Linked DNA regions of Diceros bicornis minor. The protein of the gene in region 2 binds, or shares a complex with, the protein of the main gene of each other region. Links are inferred from orthologs where the notes say so. Each region holds a gene or a part of one and is shown on either strand. Other genes may lie near its edges. The genes, in order: SENP2 and RANGAP1.

The links.
Region 1: the proteins of RANGAP1 (region 2) and SENP2 are in contact, whole or in part, in a crystal structure (PDB 2IO3), measured with the Homo sapiens proteins. The link is inferred for Diceros bicornis minor from reciprocal best matches to the Homo sapiens genes RANGAP1 and SENP2. Residues at the interface, in NP_001265580.1 of Homo sapiens: Glu467, Asn508, Thr511, Thr514, Arg515, Val518, His519, Leu523, Lys524, Ser525, Glu526, Asp527, Val529; in NP_067640.2 of Homo sapiens: Tyr408, His409, Trp410, Val477, His478, Asp495, Met497, Gly498, Gln499, Lys500, Pro536, His537, Gln541, Gln542, Asn544, Gly545.

The regions. Positions count from the first base shown.
Region 1 is NC_080754.1:38,264,521-38,271,750, forward strand, and holds the start of SENP2 (sentrin-specific protease 2), read right to left. Parts: upstream 3,074-7,230; 5' UTR 3,049-3,073; coding exon 2,726-3,048; intron 1,021-2,725; coding exon 481-1,020; intron 1-480. UniProt on the Homo sapiens protein: Protease that catalyzes two essential functions in the SUMO pathway.
Region 2 is NC_080764.1:9,104,517-9,112,090, reverse strand, and holds the start of RANGAP1 (ran GTPase-activating protein 1), read right to left. Parts: upstream 3,039-7,574; 5' UTR 2,816-3,038; intron 161-2,815; 5' UTR 123-160; coding exon 11-122; intron 1-10. UniProt on the Homo sapiens protein: GTPase activator for RAN. Converts cytoplasmic GTP-bound RAN to GDP-bound RAN, which is essential for RAN-mediated nuclear import and export. Mediates dissociation of cargo from nuclear export complexes containing XPO1, RAN and RANBP2 after nuclear export.

The DNA.
Region 1 (7,230 bases), on a different chromosome or scaffold from region 2:
GTCTCTTGGTGCTAAGAGAACAGTACTAGCAGTCAAAACGGCTTTGGGCAAGCTATGAATTTCACTTCCTTTAACTGCACTTATTACCCACAGATGACACTTGGGAGTGTGCTTTGTAAACAGTGAGCCACAACAAAGACAGTATTCCTTCAATTTTTAATTTTCAACCTAAGAGCAGCAAAGTATGATAAAGCCGCATTTGTTGACAGCAACCAGCCTGGACTCTGACAGGAACATCAAAGATCCTAACCATCACCGGCCACTCCAAAGACAACCAGCTGGTTCCATCAACAGGAGTCGCATCCGCACACTGTGGAGAGAGCGACGTCACCAGGACACCCGCGACCCGCACCTCTCCAGCCTCGGCCCCCCAACTGTTTCGGCTGAGCAGGGCCGACCTGGCTGGACCAGCGCTACCCCGGCCGAGCCCGGGTGGGCGGGGGAGAAGCTAGGCCGGCGCTCAGCCCCCTCTCCTCTCACCTGTTCGAGCGCCGCCTCTTCAGGAGGGCCCGGGCAGGGGGCACCGGACGGTCACAGAAACGGAAAATGGTGCCGAGAATCCTAACCAGCCATTTGTACATACCAGGCCCAAGCAGCAGCGGCGGCCGACACACCCCGAGACGCAAACCCCAGAGCTGTCGCCGCCGCTGCCACCTTCGCCGCCTCGGCCACCACTGCCAAGGCTCAGTCGCTGACTTGTGACGCGGACCAAGGGCCCACAGATACAACGTCCCCAGGGCTACAGGAGGCCCCCACCCGCCACCGCTCCTGACGTCACCTCCTCCCGCCCGACCGGAAAGCATCTTCGTTCTCAATCTGCGCACGCGCAACCTAGGACCCCACCTCCCGAGCCTAGCAACCAAAAATGCCTGCGGGACAGTCCCGGTCCAATCGCTGACGAGATCGAAAGGGTTGTGGGCGGGGTTTTCTTTGGCGGAGCCAGTCCTGAGACGGCTCGCGGGACAAGACCCACAGGCCACACGTGAGGCATCTCCATCCGGGAGGGAGCTCTCCGGGGGTCTGAAATACAGTAGGTGCTCAGTAAATGTTTGTTAAGTGCACGAAATAAAGGTAGGTCAGGTTAATTAACAAATGTTTACCCTGCTAGGCGCCCTTTACTTTGCATATACCTTATGCCTGGTACTTTACATGCACTGTCACCTTCATTTCTCCCAGCAACCGCAGGCGATGGGGAGTCTGTGCCCACTTTTAGTAAATGAGGAAATCATGGCATAGAGCGATTAAGTAATTTGCCTACGGTCACAAAGCTGGCTAGTGGCATAGCTGGAATTTGAACCGGAGTCTGAGTACCAGCGCCAGCTCCTTGCCCTTGAGGTCAGTCTACTGGGAGAGACATAATTACAAATTACAATACCAGGTAATTGGCTGCTGTGATAAACGTGTAAGCGAAGTACGGGGGAAGGGAAGGGCACAACTCAAGGAAGTCTTCACAGAAACTTAAGGGTGAAAATGTACCTGTAGCCTACTAGTACTTACTAGTCCCCTCCCCTGGGCTGGCAAGGAGTGCTGCTAATTACTCTCCCTCTGTTATCTAGAGGTCACACTTCTGGTTATCAACAACAGAAAATGTCCCACCCTACTTGGTAATAGAAAATCCAGTCCCCTCCCCAAACAGTCCTGGGAATCCTCAAAGTTTTCCATGCCCCGCAGATCCAATCCCTGACTACACTTGATCCTTACCTGTGATTCTGTTAAGACCAGACTTCCAGACTGACTTGAACTTCAACACAAGCACTCCCTAGTACAGCCTTATCCTTTGATCAATAAACAGTGTTCCAGAATTCTGCTGCAAGCCACCCCCTAGAGCTCCAGAATCACCAGCTACACCTGTGGCTACCACCACTCTGACCTGGGAAGATGGGGGACAGTTCCTAGAAGGTGGAAGCAAATCCTAAGTGTGGACATAGGCCCCTCCCTTAATTCCCCCAAACATACCTAACACCGGGCTGTTATTGAAAGTTTGGGAATAAGAGAATTACAAAGCTGAGAAGATTTAGAAGTGGCTGTTACAAGTACAGCGTTTATAGCCCATAGTCCATTGCCTCCCAAAAGGACTCTTCTCCCCTGGAGGTAATTGCTCCACTCTTCTCAACATCTTTTACCAGCCACCAACAGAAGAGAATTTCCCCTCCACCTCTACCCTAACCCATTTCAGGCCAGACACCCAGTTAACTTAAAAGAAGACTATGGTTGGCATTCTTATTTAGAGCAGCTCACCTGTGTCCCAACTATCCATTCCACTATAAGACTTGGTCTTTGCTTTTGCCAAACCAAGAAGACCACTCAAGTATTGAGAAGAGATTCCCCAAAACAAAAGAGCAAGCTTCGTTGAAAACATAAATCAGAAAACTGCAAGCTGCTTTAGGATAGCAGCTGGTCTCAGGTTCTGGCCACCAAGATTTAAGAAGTATTGGCATCCCGTCTCAGAGCACTCGAGTACAGTACCAGAGCACAATATTTTTTCTTTTCCTGCCTTATTAATAGCACGTGCACATACTCAATACTGAAATGTCGGTAATCCGCCATGAAAAGTGGGAGGGCTTCGGAATTACAGACCTCAGTCTGAATCCCTGGGCCTCATCAGCAAACAGTAAGTCATGAGTGTGGCAGCTGCCAGCCTCCCGCACACAGACACCCCCTTTGTGTCCTCTTAGTGCCTCCAGTTGCCCTCTGAAACGGAGAAAAAAAGGGGACTCAGCCTTACTGTCGCTCCCGCCTGGGACTCGTCTGCCAGTTGGTGCCTTCGCAGTCCTCTTGTCCACAGTAGGGGCATGGGCCACTGCCCGTCCACTGGGCAAGGAGTGGGATTATCCTTAACCCCAACCCCAGCGCTGTCGCAGCCATTCCCGGACCCAGGAACTCCTCACCGGAGGGCCGGAGGAGAATCCCAAAACCATGTGGAGTAACAAGGACATTGAGATCTCCGCCCTTGCTCTGGATAACTTGCGCCCTTGTACCGCCGTAGGGGCATGACCTCATTGCTGAAGTTTTCATAGGGAATCCCAAACGATTGCCCCAGTTTTCCATAAAGATCCTCGTTGTCCTCCTGCTAAGACCTTCTCCTTCAAGCCTTTCCAGGGCCCCTCCCCCATCTTCCTCAAAACCTACCTCCCCTTCACGGAACAGTAAAGACCCACCCCTGCAGTCCATTCTTTAGTCTTGCAAATTTTCCCTTTGCCAGCATTCTCGGAGTGTTAAAAGATTTCCTCTCAGGGCCCACCTGGTGGCATAGTGGTTAAGTTCACGTGCTCTACTTCAGTGGCCCGGGGTTCGCAAGTTCGGATCCCTGGCACGGACTTATGCACCACTTATCAAGCCATGCTGTGGCAGGCATCCTGCATATAAGTAAAGGAAGATGGGCACAGATGTTAGCTTGGGGCCAGTCTTCCTCAGCAAAAAGAGGAGGATTGGCAACGGATGTGAGCTCAGGGCTAATCTTCCCCCTACACCCCCCAAAAAAGATTTCCTCTCAACTTTGTCTTTGCTGATCCCTGTCAGAAAGGGGTTCTGGGCCATTTTATGGAAGAGGGTAAGAGCCTATAGATGAGATATTGTTGGTTTTGGCCTAGTGTGCCTAAAATCCAACAGAATTCACCACCCTGAAGATTAATTTCCTTCTGGGGACCAACTCTTCCGGTACTCAAGGAAAATGTATCCTCCTAATAAGGTGACTTTGATCTTATTCAATCTGTCTAATAATAACCTTGGCCTTATTATGCCAAAAGCAAGTGCAGTTCTTTCTTGCCCTAGATTTTATTACAAAATTTGCTCACATTGATTTCGTATGGCTCTGCCTGCCTCATGTGGAGAAACAGCACCAGGCCCTACCTAAGCTTGTTTCCTAACCTGTAAAATAGAGTCAGTCAAACCTGCCTCTCAGATCTGTGGGCCAATTAAATGTGTTTCTGTATGTGAAGGACCTCCTTCAATGCCTAGCAGAGGTAAGTGCTTAATGTTTCTCTTCTCTCTCTTTCCTTCTCCTATCTAACAAGTCATTTAACTTGCCAATTCCGCATTTTACATTTTCCATAATCTGCCCCTTCCCCTCTCCAAACCCATTGTTAACCGGATACCCGCCACACAAGAGGGGCCAAATAAAAACTGGAACAAGGAAAGAGTTTCTATTTTGGGTAACGTCAGCCAGGAGACGAGAGCTCTCAAATTTGTCCCATCTCCCCGAAAGATGGGAGGCAAGGGGTTTTAAAGGTTGCAAGGGAGAGCCTGTGCTGGGGTTTTAGGTAAGGGAGAGGGAGCACATGGCCACGCTGGTTGGCACCTTCCCACCAGCCTGCTTTTGGCCTTGAGGACTCAATTTCTTTCCCTTGACTGTCTGGGCTTCTCTGGTTAGTTTTCATCTTCAGCCTGCATGTGGCCTTGTGAGGCTGACTCTTGATGTCTGGACCTTGAATTCCTGGGAAAGACAGCTTGTTCATATACTAAGGAGGGACAGAAAGACCTGGTTAGTTTTAAACAAGTTGATTATGCTGAATATGCACAGCTGCAGTTAGCAAAGCTTATCTCCAAGTTTTTGCTCTCTGCTGCTAGCGCAGGGAAGATTTTTAAACCTCTTCGTGCTCGGTTTCACCATCAGAACTACTGTTGATCATGACCTGATAATTTCTCACACCATTGCAATAGCCACCTCCTCTTCTACCCTGTCCCTCTTCTATCTATTTTCAGGGTAATCTCTCTCTTTTTGTCTTTTGTTGTTGTTGTTTTGTTGCCTTTTGTTGTTCTTGATAAGGAAGGTAAATATGTTGTTGTTCTTATTTATTAAGTAAACTTATAAATTAAATTTCTGGTTTTCTGTTACTGAAACGTTAAAAATGGTTACGTTAATTTTCACCAAATTCCGGAGGTTTGTTTGGAGTGGTCTGACTTAAAATATGGGGCAAGCCTAAAATTTACTGTGGATGACCCTAGGGAGAACCTTGAAAAGAGAGACAGGTATCTCTAGGAGCAGCTGAAATGGAGGTGCAGCCAGAAGAGGAGGATGCCACCAGATGAGAAATACCCTGCTGGGTTAGACAGCATGAGCCCCTCAAATGGTTCACCATGGTTCCAAATGGGAGCCCATGTCAGACGTCGCAAGGATAGACCTTGCAAATTACAGGAATTTTCCCGTAGAGTTGCTTCTCACACAGACAACTCTGTGTGCCTGCTCCAGGGAATAATTGTCTAATGAAGGTGCAGGATTCTCATGACCAATGCTTGGGAAGCCAGCGAAGTTAAAATGAAAATAGAAATCTGATTGTAATAAGACTGTTTTAAAACAACAGTTTAGGGGCCAGCCCTGTGGCTTAGCAGTTAAGTGCACGCGCTCAGCTGCTGGCGGCCAGGGTTCAGATCCCAGGCGCGCACCTACGTACCGCCTCTCTGGCCATGCTGAGGCCGCGTCCCACATACAGCAACTAGAAGGCTGTGCAACTATGACATACAACTATCTACTGGGGCTTTGGGGGGAAAAATAAATAAATAAAAATTTTAAAAAAATTAAATAAAACAACAGTTTAAGATCCAGATAAATCTAAAATACATAGTATGGATGGATGTTAAATGTTGAGCATTCCTCTGAAATTTTTGTTGACTTTTTTAAAAAAAAGTCATTACATGCTAATGAACTTTTAGTACGTAAAAGCATTTTGCCTCTGTCTTGCCAGTGTGCATACAGGCCTTGCTAGAGCAGTCTCTCCTTGAAATGTCTGAGCAGCACTCTGAAAACAAGCAGTTACTGAAAGCACTGGACTTACATTGATTTCATTTGATACACTGTTTGTAAGGAAGTCTCCGTTTCTAAAACAAAGTAGCTCTATTCCATGAAAAGTATTTCTTAAGCCAGAAAAGTAGAATGCAGTTCTTGTTTTGTAATTAACTATCAAAAAAAATTGTTCATATAATAATGTTAATAAGTTAACCTAAATATATTATCTTACATATATTAATATTATTTATTATGTTTTTATATTATATATGATTCTAGTACATATTATTTATTATATTTATTTGTATTGTTATATAATCATAATATATTAACATATAAATAAGTGAACAAGAAAAAAGGTAGATTCCCACTGCCTTGAAGATAAAATCCAATATCCTAAGCATGACACAAAGTTCTTCAAAGCCTGTCTTCAAATTACTTTATCATTTCCCTATTCATACACACCAAACTCTCAATCCACACTTCTTTTATGCCTCCAAGTTTGTTCCCTGTCCCTGGAATGCCTTTCCACCACCTTCTTCACCTCTTCAACTCCTACCTACTCTTTTGAACCCAGCTCAGAAGGCACCTCCTGTGTGAAGCTTTTCCAATGGCTCCTCCCTCTGGGATTCCCATCATCTTATTGCTTCCTTCTTGGTTCTCCTATGGGATGTGTATCCATATGTCTATATTAGTATTATTATGATCATTAATGTGTCTGTCTCCTTGAGGGAAGGAGCTATCTCCTATTTTTTCCTTATTATTTTTTTAAATGAAAGTTCAAGAAATGTTCAATAAATGAAGGAATGAAGAAATGAAACAAATATATGAATTTGGGGAAAGTTACCCTGATCTACTTGTAGAATATGAATCAAGGGAACAAACTTATCTTCCAGACTTGGATCGCAAGTGAGAGATTCCAGGGTCACTGATGCGGATAAGAAGACAAAAGGATGTTACAGTGAGTCATGTACTAGCTTGGAGACATAGACCAGGGTGGGAGAGGACATAGGTCATTGGTTGAAGCCAGCGAGAGTTATAAAACCAACTCCTCTCAGTTCCATTAACTTCCATACCTGTTTTTCCTGTCCACGCATTTGAAAGCTTACCCACCCCTTTCTACTCTGCTCTCTGTAGCAAGTGATTTCTAGGTTAAAGAAAAAAAAAAGCCAGTACGTTATTGTACATTCGAAATGAGGGAAATTGTGGTATTGAGAAGTGATATTATGATATTGCCCTTCTTGAGTTGTGGTCATTTATCAAGGTCACAGTGTTGAGAAAATTAAGCATTCTTTACTCTTGACTAGCTGATGGTAAGTAAAGAAATGGTTTTCCTGAGCACCTTTGAATAAATCTTAACATTCAAATGGTTATGAGTTGGCCTCTCTTTTGGAGTTTTTAAAAACTTTTATTTTGAAATAATTATAGGTTCACAGGAAGCTGCAAAAATAGTACAGGGATGTCTCATGTACCCTTACCCAGCTTCCACCAGTTGTAACATCTTACAT
Region 2 (7,574 bases):
AGGAACTCACCATCTTCTGCAGTGTTGAGCTTGAGGCTCTTGCCTTTGAAACTCAGTTGTCCCCCGGCCACCTGGGTTTTGGCTAGCGTCTCTGCCAGCTTTGCAATGTCTTCAGAGGCCATGTTGGCCACGTTCGTAGGCTCCTCCCGCAATCTGCAAACTGAGGAGGCCAAAGTTTCATTAAAAGAGAGGAGTCGGGCCGGCCCCATGGCATAGCGGTTAAGTGCATGCACTCCACTTCGGCGGCCCGGGCTTTGCAGGTTCGGATCTCACACGCACCGACGGACTGCTTGTCAAGCCATGCTGTGGCGGCATCCCATATAAAGTAGAAGAAGATGGGCACAGATGTTGGCCCAGGGCCTGTCTTCTTCAGCAAAAAGAGGAGGATTGGCATCAGATGTTAGCTCAGGGCTAATTTTCTTCACCAAAAAACAAAACAAAACAGAGGAGTCTCCTGGGGCCCCCTGGTTGGGAAAGGCAGGATAAGACATCAGCCTGACCCCACCTCCTCCTGCTATGGAGACCCCAAGAGCTAAACCACTGGTAGAAATGAAAACAGCATTAGAGGAGGAACAGTCTAGAAAAGTGGAGAAGGTAGCAAGAAAGCAGAAAAATCATGTTTAGCCTCTGAAGAGTTACAATTTCACTACACGTCCTCCTCTGCCAACTGCCCCAGCTGGGACACCTAGCAAAGCCATGTAAAGTTGCCCAGTTCCTGGGCCCCCAGTGAACGGCAGCTGAGTCCCAGGCCCACAGCTGCAAAGAGTCTGCCTCAAGCACACACCTGTCTGATCATCTTGACTGCTCTCTGTTTGAGGGTCCCATTCCTCAAACAGGACATAGATGGCTACGGGATCCAGGTCATCCATCCCAGAGAATGCCCCACCACCCACACTGACATGACTCTGGGGGTGGGGCCCAGGGGTCAGCCCACTGCACGTCTGGTTTCAACCCTGGCCAGGAGACTGGGCAGCCCATGGCAGCCAGACCTCAAGGGCTCCTAGGAGACCTGAGATCTCTACATCACAACAGTCACCATCACAATAGACCAGAGGCAGAGCTGCTGGAAAAAAGAGCTTCCAGCCTGGAGCTCAGCAGACTGGAAGAAAGGACCACTCAGTTTTCCCAAAGAGGAAATGGCAGGTGATCAACAGAGACCAAGAAAGACTGATACAGGGACAGAACCAGGAGGTGCCCACCGAGATGACTTCTTATCCTGAATGCCTAATCCCCGAATCTACTCATCAAGATACAGTTGTGATAGCTCCCCACCCTCCTACTCCCGCAGGCTTCCTCTGGGCTCAAACAGCCAGGTTCCCACTCCCTTCTCCTTACCTGAATCCTCACCACCCTGGTTTGTCTGTCTATACATCTTTAGCAATATGCATGAATTATTCTTCTAGGTAAGGAGACGTCCATTCACTCATTTAACAAACATTTATTGAGTACTACTGTATGCTGGACATTGTTCCAGGTAGCAGGAGTACAGCAGTGAATAACACAAAAACCCTGCCCTCTTCAAACATATGTTCTAAACAAGATATTTAGTATCTTAGCCAGTGATAAGAAGAAAAACAAACAAGGAAGGAAGGCAGTAAGAAATTTCTTGGAGGGGTTGCAATTTAAAGTAGAATAGTTAGAGAAGTTATTATTAAGAAAGAAACAAAAACTTGACAGATATCAGGGATTGGGCCATGCAGATATCCGGAGGAAGAACATTCTTGCAAAGGGAACAGCAAATGCAAAGGCTGTTGTGGGGGATGGGGGTGGTTTAGAGGTAATGCAAGGAGGCCAGGGGGGCTGGAGCCCAGAGAGGGATGGGGAAAGGAGGCAAGAGATGAGAAAAGAGAATTAACAAGAGGACTAAGTCACAAAGACCATTTTAAGAACCATGGTTTTTACTGTGAGTGACAAGGAGAGCCACTGGAGCGTTTCTAGCAGAGGACAGACGTGATCTGACGTTGTGTTTTTGCAGGATCACTCTATCTGCCACATAAGGCCTGGCATTTAGAAGGTACTCCAAGAATGACGGGCTGAAACTGAATAAAAATTAGCCTGAAACCCCACCACCTCTTGCAGTTAAGCGACGGGACAATTTGAGGCTAGAAAAATGGTGGTGGGGCCTCTGATGGAATAGGAACACAGAACCTCTCAGCTGGAGTGGGGCCCATTCCTCAGACAGTACACACACACACACGATCCACTTTAAAGACTAAGAAATCGAAGCACAGAGAGGTGAATGGATTTGTCCAAGGTTTGCAAAGGGTCAGCGGCAGAGCAAAGACAAACGGTACACACAGTCCTCTCCCTTCTCGGCAGAAGCGTCGCAGGCTTCCTTAGGCGCACACCCATGGCTCCTGCGAAGCGTTCGCAGTGACTCACGCCGATCCCAGGCCCTCCGCGGGGGTGGGCCCCTTGGCAGGCGGCGACGAGGCAGCAACGCGCGAGTGAGGGCGGCAAATGACAGACGGGCAGCGCGAGGCCCATCTGGGCGCCCCGGCGGACGCACACCGCCCCTAGTTGACACCGACGCTAACAGGAGACGCCACTACTGGCAGCTGGGGCTGGGCGGCCCGGGCGACCGAGACGCCCTCTCTAATCCTTAGTTTCCCTGCTTGTGACAGGGGCCAGAGCCCCCCAGTACCCCCACTCCCACCCGCTCCGTACTGGGCCGTCGAAGGCTCAGGGGAAAAGGCCGGGAGCGCGCAGAAGGCGCTCAGGGGCGCCACGCCTCCCTCGCCCAGTTCCAGGGCGGCGCCGCCTCCGCCCCCATCCCAGGCAGGTGACGGGCAAAGGAAAGAGACCCCGACCCTACCGTGAACAAGCGGCGGCGCCGCCGCGTGGGGCGACACGAGCGCGCGCGTTCGCCCGGCGGGGCGGGGACTGATTTAGGGTCCGGGTCAGGTCAGGTCGGGGTAGCCGCCTCCGACTCCAGCGGTCCCGATGCCCAGCCCGCCCGTCCGTCAGCTCTCCCGGTGGCTCTCGCCACTCGCCTCTGCCTCCGACACCACCTGCTCTCCGCACGGCGGCGGATGATGGCGGAGGAGGAGGATTTTGAAAGCCGGCAGTTTCTTTCCTTTGATTTGATTTGTTCAAGGCTCAGGCCGGCTTCCCTTCCCCCGCGCGCGTGGCCTGTCGGGCATGGTAGTCCAGTCCTCCAGCGCGGGCGCGGCAGCAGCGCGCTCTCGAACTACCAGTCCCGTGATGCACCGCGCTCCACAGCACCTCCGCCCGCTGCCTCTTCGCCCTCCCTGTTCGGCTTCTGGCTCTTTCTCGGGGAGACCACAGGGCGGCGTTTAGCAGCGAGCTCCCATGGAGACTACAATTCCCTTAATGCCTTGCGGCCTAGCTGTCTCAGCTTTTCCGGAAGGGTTAACGTTCACGTAACTTTATTGACAAGGCTGGTACTGTGGAAGGCATGCTGCTGGATCTTTTCAGCAAGAAATGGGTATCTATTTCCTGAAGGGAAAGCCTCGCCTGTTTTGACCCATGAAATTGAAAGGACATTCGAAGCCTTCCACATAAATAGCCACAAACTAATTGATAATTAAAAAGGGAAATAATAACCCTATAGTAGAGAAACTGCGACACCACCTTAACCGAGTGGTCCGTATTAACATCAATGACAGGACAAACTGACATCCATCGCACACCTTCCGATGTGATGCACTGAGAAGGACACAGCATCACCATCTAGCAGCAATGCATAAAATTAATTTAATCATGAGGAAACAGACAAACACAAACTGAGTCACGCTGCAGAGTAACTAGTCTATACTCTTCCAAAACTGTGTCATGAAAGACAAAAGAAAAGCTGAGGAACTGCTGCAGATTAAAGGAGACTAAAAAAACATGACAACTAAATGCAATACATGGTCCTAGACTAGATCCAGGAGTGGGGGGAGGGAACTACTATAAAGGGCAATATTGAGACAATTAGCAAAACTTGACTGTATATTAGATAATAGTATTGTATCAGTGTTAAATTTATTGATTTTTATTATTGTACTGGATTATGTAAGAGACTGCCCTTGTTCTTGGGAAATATATGCTGAAATAATTAGGGGCATGTCTGCAAGTTACTCTCAAATGGTTAAAAAAATGTGTACATATATTTACAGGGTGCAAATGTGGCAAACTGTTAATAATAAGTGAATCTGGGTGAAGGGTATTTGGGAGGGAATTTGAACATTTTTGCTACTTTTCTGTAGGTTTGAATTTTTTTTAGAAACACAAATAGCTTTTTTTTTTTCTTTTCACAAAGAACTTTTTAACCCTTATATAAATAACGTGTTCATTATAAACACTTCAACCAATATAGAACAGGATAAAGAGAAAGTAAACATTACCGGGAAACTCTCACCTAGAGATAATCACTGTCAACACGTGTGGCCTTCTTTTCCAAAGTTAACTCTCACAGCTCGGCCCACACACATGCTTTTGCTTCACCTGCGATTCAGAGTTAAATATATTATGTGCCAGATCCTTTCACATTCAGCTAATTTAATCTTTACAACCACAAAGGAAGTGGGCATCATTACCACCCTTCCCAGCACAGAGATGAGAAAAATGAACCTGGTTCACGGTTCACACAACTACTGAGATGTGAGTCCTCTCTTCACCCTCCCTCTCCTTCTCTGCCTACAAGGCCCATATCAAATGCCACCTCCTCCGGGAAGCTTTCCTACAGGACTCCAGTCAGAATAAGTCACCTTCTTCTGGGACTCCATAGCAAGCTGAAAGCCCCCTCAGCAGTTGGTCTGCGGCTCTGAGGGCTTTTTCACAGTTAGAGATAACAGTCTTTGTTAACAGTATTCTTGGCAGCTTCCTTCTCAACCTGGGAGAGCCTCGAGGACAGGTACTGTATCCATCTTGGCAGCATCCTCTCAGGGCCTCGCCTGTCATAGGTGCTTCAAGTTTCCTCATTTGAACTGGATTCCAGTCAGGGTCACCGGACATTTGCTTAAAATGATTCATCATCTGAGAGGCTGAAATGCTCCCAATCAGGCCTGATTCTATTCCTGTGCTGGTTACAGCTAGGACTGGTCAAATCAGTCTGATTTTCCTTGGGATGATCTCCAGGCTCCCTTTTCCAGTTTTACTTCCTGAGACTTTCCCTGGCCCTCTGATGGGAACCTCCTGAAGGGGAGAGGAAGGCAGGTGGTAGGACATCTTAGACCATCTTCCCCTTCCTCGTCCAGCTGATGGATCATAGCGTTTTTCAGAACTGGAAGGGAATTCTTAGCAGAAACTCAATAGCCTTCAAGGGCCAAGGAGGTAATAGGAGGTAATGGGGGCCCGGCCAGGCTCGTGGAGAGCCAGAGAGTAGATGTTCTGCCTGAAAGTGTTCACATTCAAAGCTAAAAATCACAAACCCAGCCTGACAGCACCCCTTAGCAATGCAGATTCCGTTTGGATCTAGATTTTATCTCAAAAACCTTTAAAATGGGGAGACTGGGTTTAAAAAGGAGAAGGAGGTTTGCACAGTGAGTCAGAAGAGTCCAGAACCATGAGTGTTTCCAAGCAACACATTTGTCATCTTCTCTCCCTCTCTCCTTCCTTTCTGCAACTCTCTTTCTCTTTCAAGTATCACCTGAGAGCTAGTCGGTTTGCCTGGCCCAAGAAGTGGAATCATTGCCTTTGTCAGATGGATAGCCATCTTAGGCCACCTCTTTCGTCTTTTCAACAAATGAAGAACTGAGGCCCGGAGAGGTCAAATAACCCACCCAAAATACACAGTAATTTAGAAAAGAGATAGTAGAAGCCAGATCTCTGGGACCCTTTTCAACACGCACACAAAACAAGTCACTTTGTGAGTGTGAGCTGGGTATGGGGGGAGAAAGGAGAGGGGAGTGTTCCAGACCTTTCTCTCTCTGTTGTGCAGCTTTTTATACAAGAATGTTTTGAAGAGAAAAGCAGGCTGCCTCTGATTAGTTTGGTTTACGTTAGCTGAGTGTTTTAAATTCCATTCTGGTGACTGAAAACAAACTTAATTGCCAATCGTAAATGGAATAAATAACAATATTTATGCTGGTTTCCTGAAGAGCTACCAAGGCTGCAGACTTGCCATTTAGTCAGATCAAAAACAAATGCCTGAAGTATGCCAGGCACGTGAGGAATGTGGAGAGAAATTCCCAAGGTCCAATCGGGTGCTCGCCTTGGGCCCCTGGAGAGAGGTGGGTAGGCCTGGCCTACCAGCCTTGCAAGGGAGCCTGCCCCTTTATCCCCAAGGGTCACCTCCCCTGGTGGGAGGGGGTGGCTACATCATCTATTAAAGACAACTCAAACCACATTCTCCCCTGGGTTCAAGCCCAGGGCCCCCTTAATTATTTTTTTAACCTCCATAAACAACCATAATTAAAAGAATTCATTCACTCCACAAATAGTTATCCATCATCTACTATGTGCCAGGCACTGTTCCAGCTCCTGAGAATCCAGTGATGAATGAAAGAGGAAAGGATGGTATCTGCTGAGGAGCTTCACTTCGAGTCTAACATTTACAGAGGGTTTCCCGGTACCAATTGCTTTTGGTAGATTATGTTCTCTTTTAATAATTCTTTTGTTCCAAAATGGAAATCATTTTTTAATGAAAATTGACAGTCATGTAAAAAACATTAGTATAAACGCAAAAGAGCATAAAGAAGAAAGTTAACAATTACCTGTTTTGTTTTTAACCAAAATGTGATGTGGATTGATGGGTGGATGGATGAATATGTGAGAAAGCAAATACAGCAAAATGTTAACAATTGTATAGTTCTTTCAGCTTTCTGTATGCTTGAACATTTTCATAATAACATGTTGGGAACCATGTTTTATCCTCTGCATGTCATCTACTGTATTACAGTCTGGTGGCTATCTCAGTCTCTAAACTCCTGAGTCCTCCTCTTCTCTTTTTTTGAGTCACCTTCACCTTTGAGAGTCTGAATTCTATGGACTGTTTCCCAGAAGAACGTATTATTTATTTGTTTATTTTTTTGTGAGGAAGATCAGCCCTGAGCTATCATCCATGCCAATCCTCCTCTTTCTGCTGAGGAAGACTGGCTCTGGGCTAACATCTGTGCCTATCTTCCTCCACTTTATATGGGATGCCGCTGAGGCACTGCTTGTCGGGCCATGCCTGGGATCCGAACCCAGGCCGCCAGCAGCAGAGCGTGCGCATTTAACCGCTGTGCCATGGGGCCGGCCCCCTTATTTATTTTTTAATCACACACTTGTCAATGCTCTGTATGCAGGAACTCACTTAATCTTCACAGTGACCCTGTGGAGAAAGTACTCTTACTATCCCCAACCTAAGCCTCGAGTTGTGCATCTATCTTCATGGTCCTTCGCTAAATCCCAAGTTAAGATTCCTTGCTGGAGGGCTGGGACTTGGGACTATACTGGAGCTGTGGGGACATGGGGTTTCTCTGCAGTCCCAGGACCCAGCATGGGGCCTGGCAATGAATGTTTGCTGAGTGAGTGAATGAACACGGCACATGGTCACACCTAAGGTTGCCATGCGTTCCAGCTCTCCCCAGGAGATAACGAGGCATTTCTGGGGGCCGGGCCATGGCAGGCCTAAGCCTGGAGTAGGA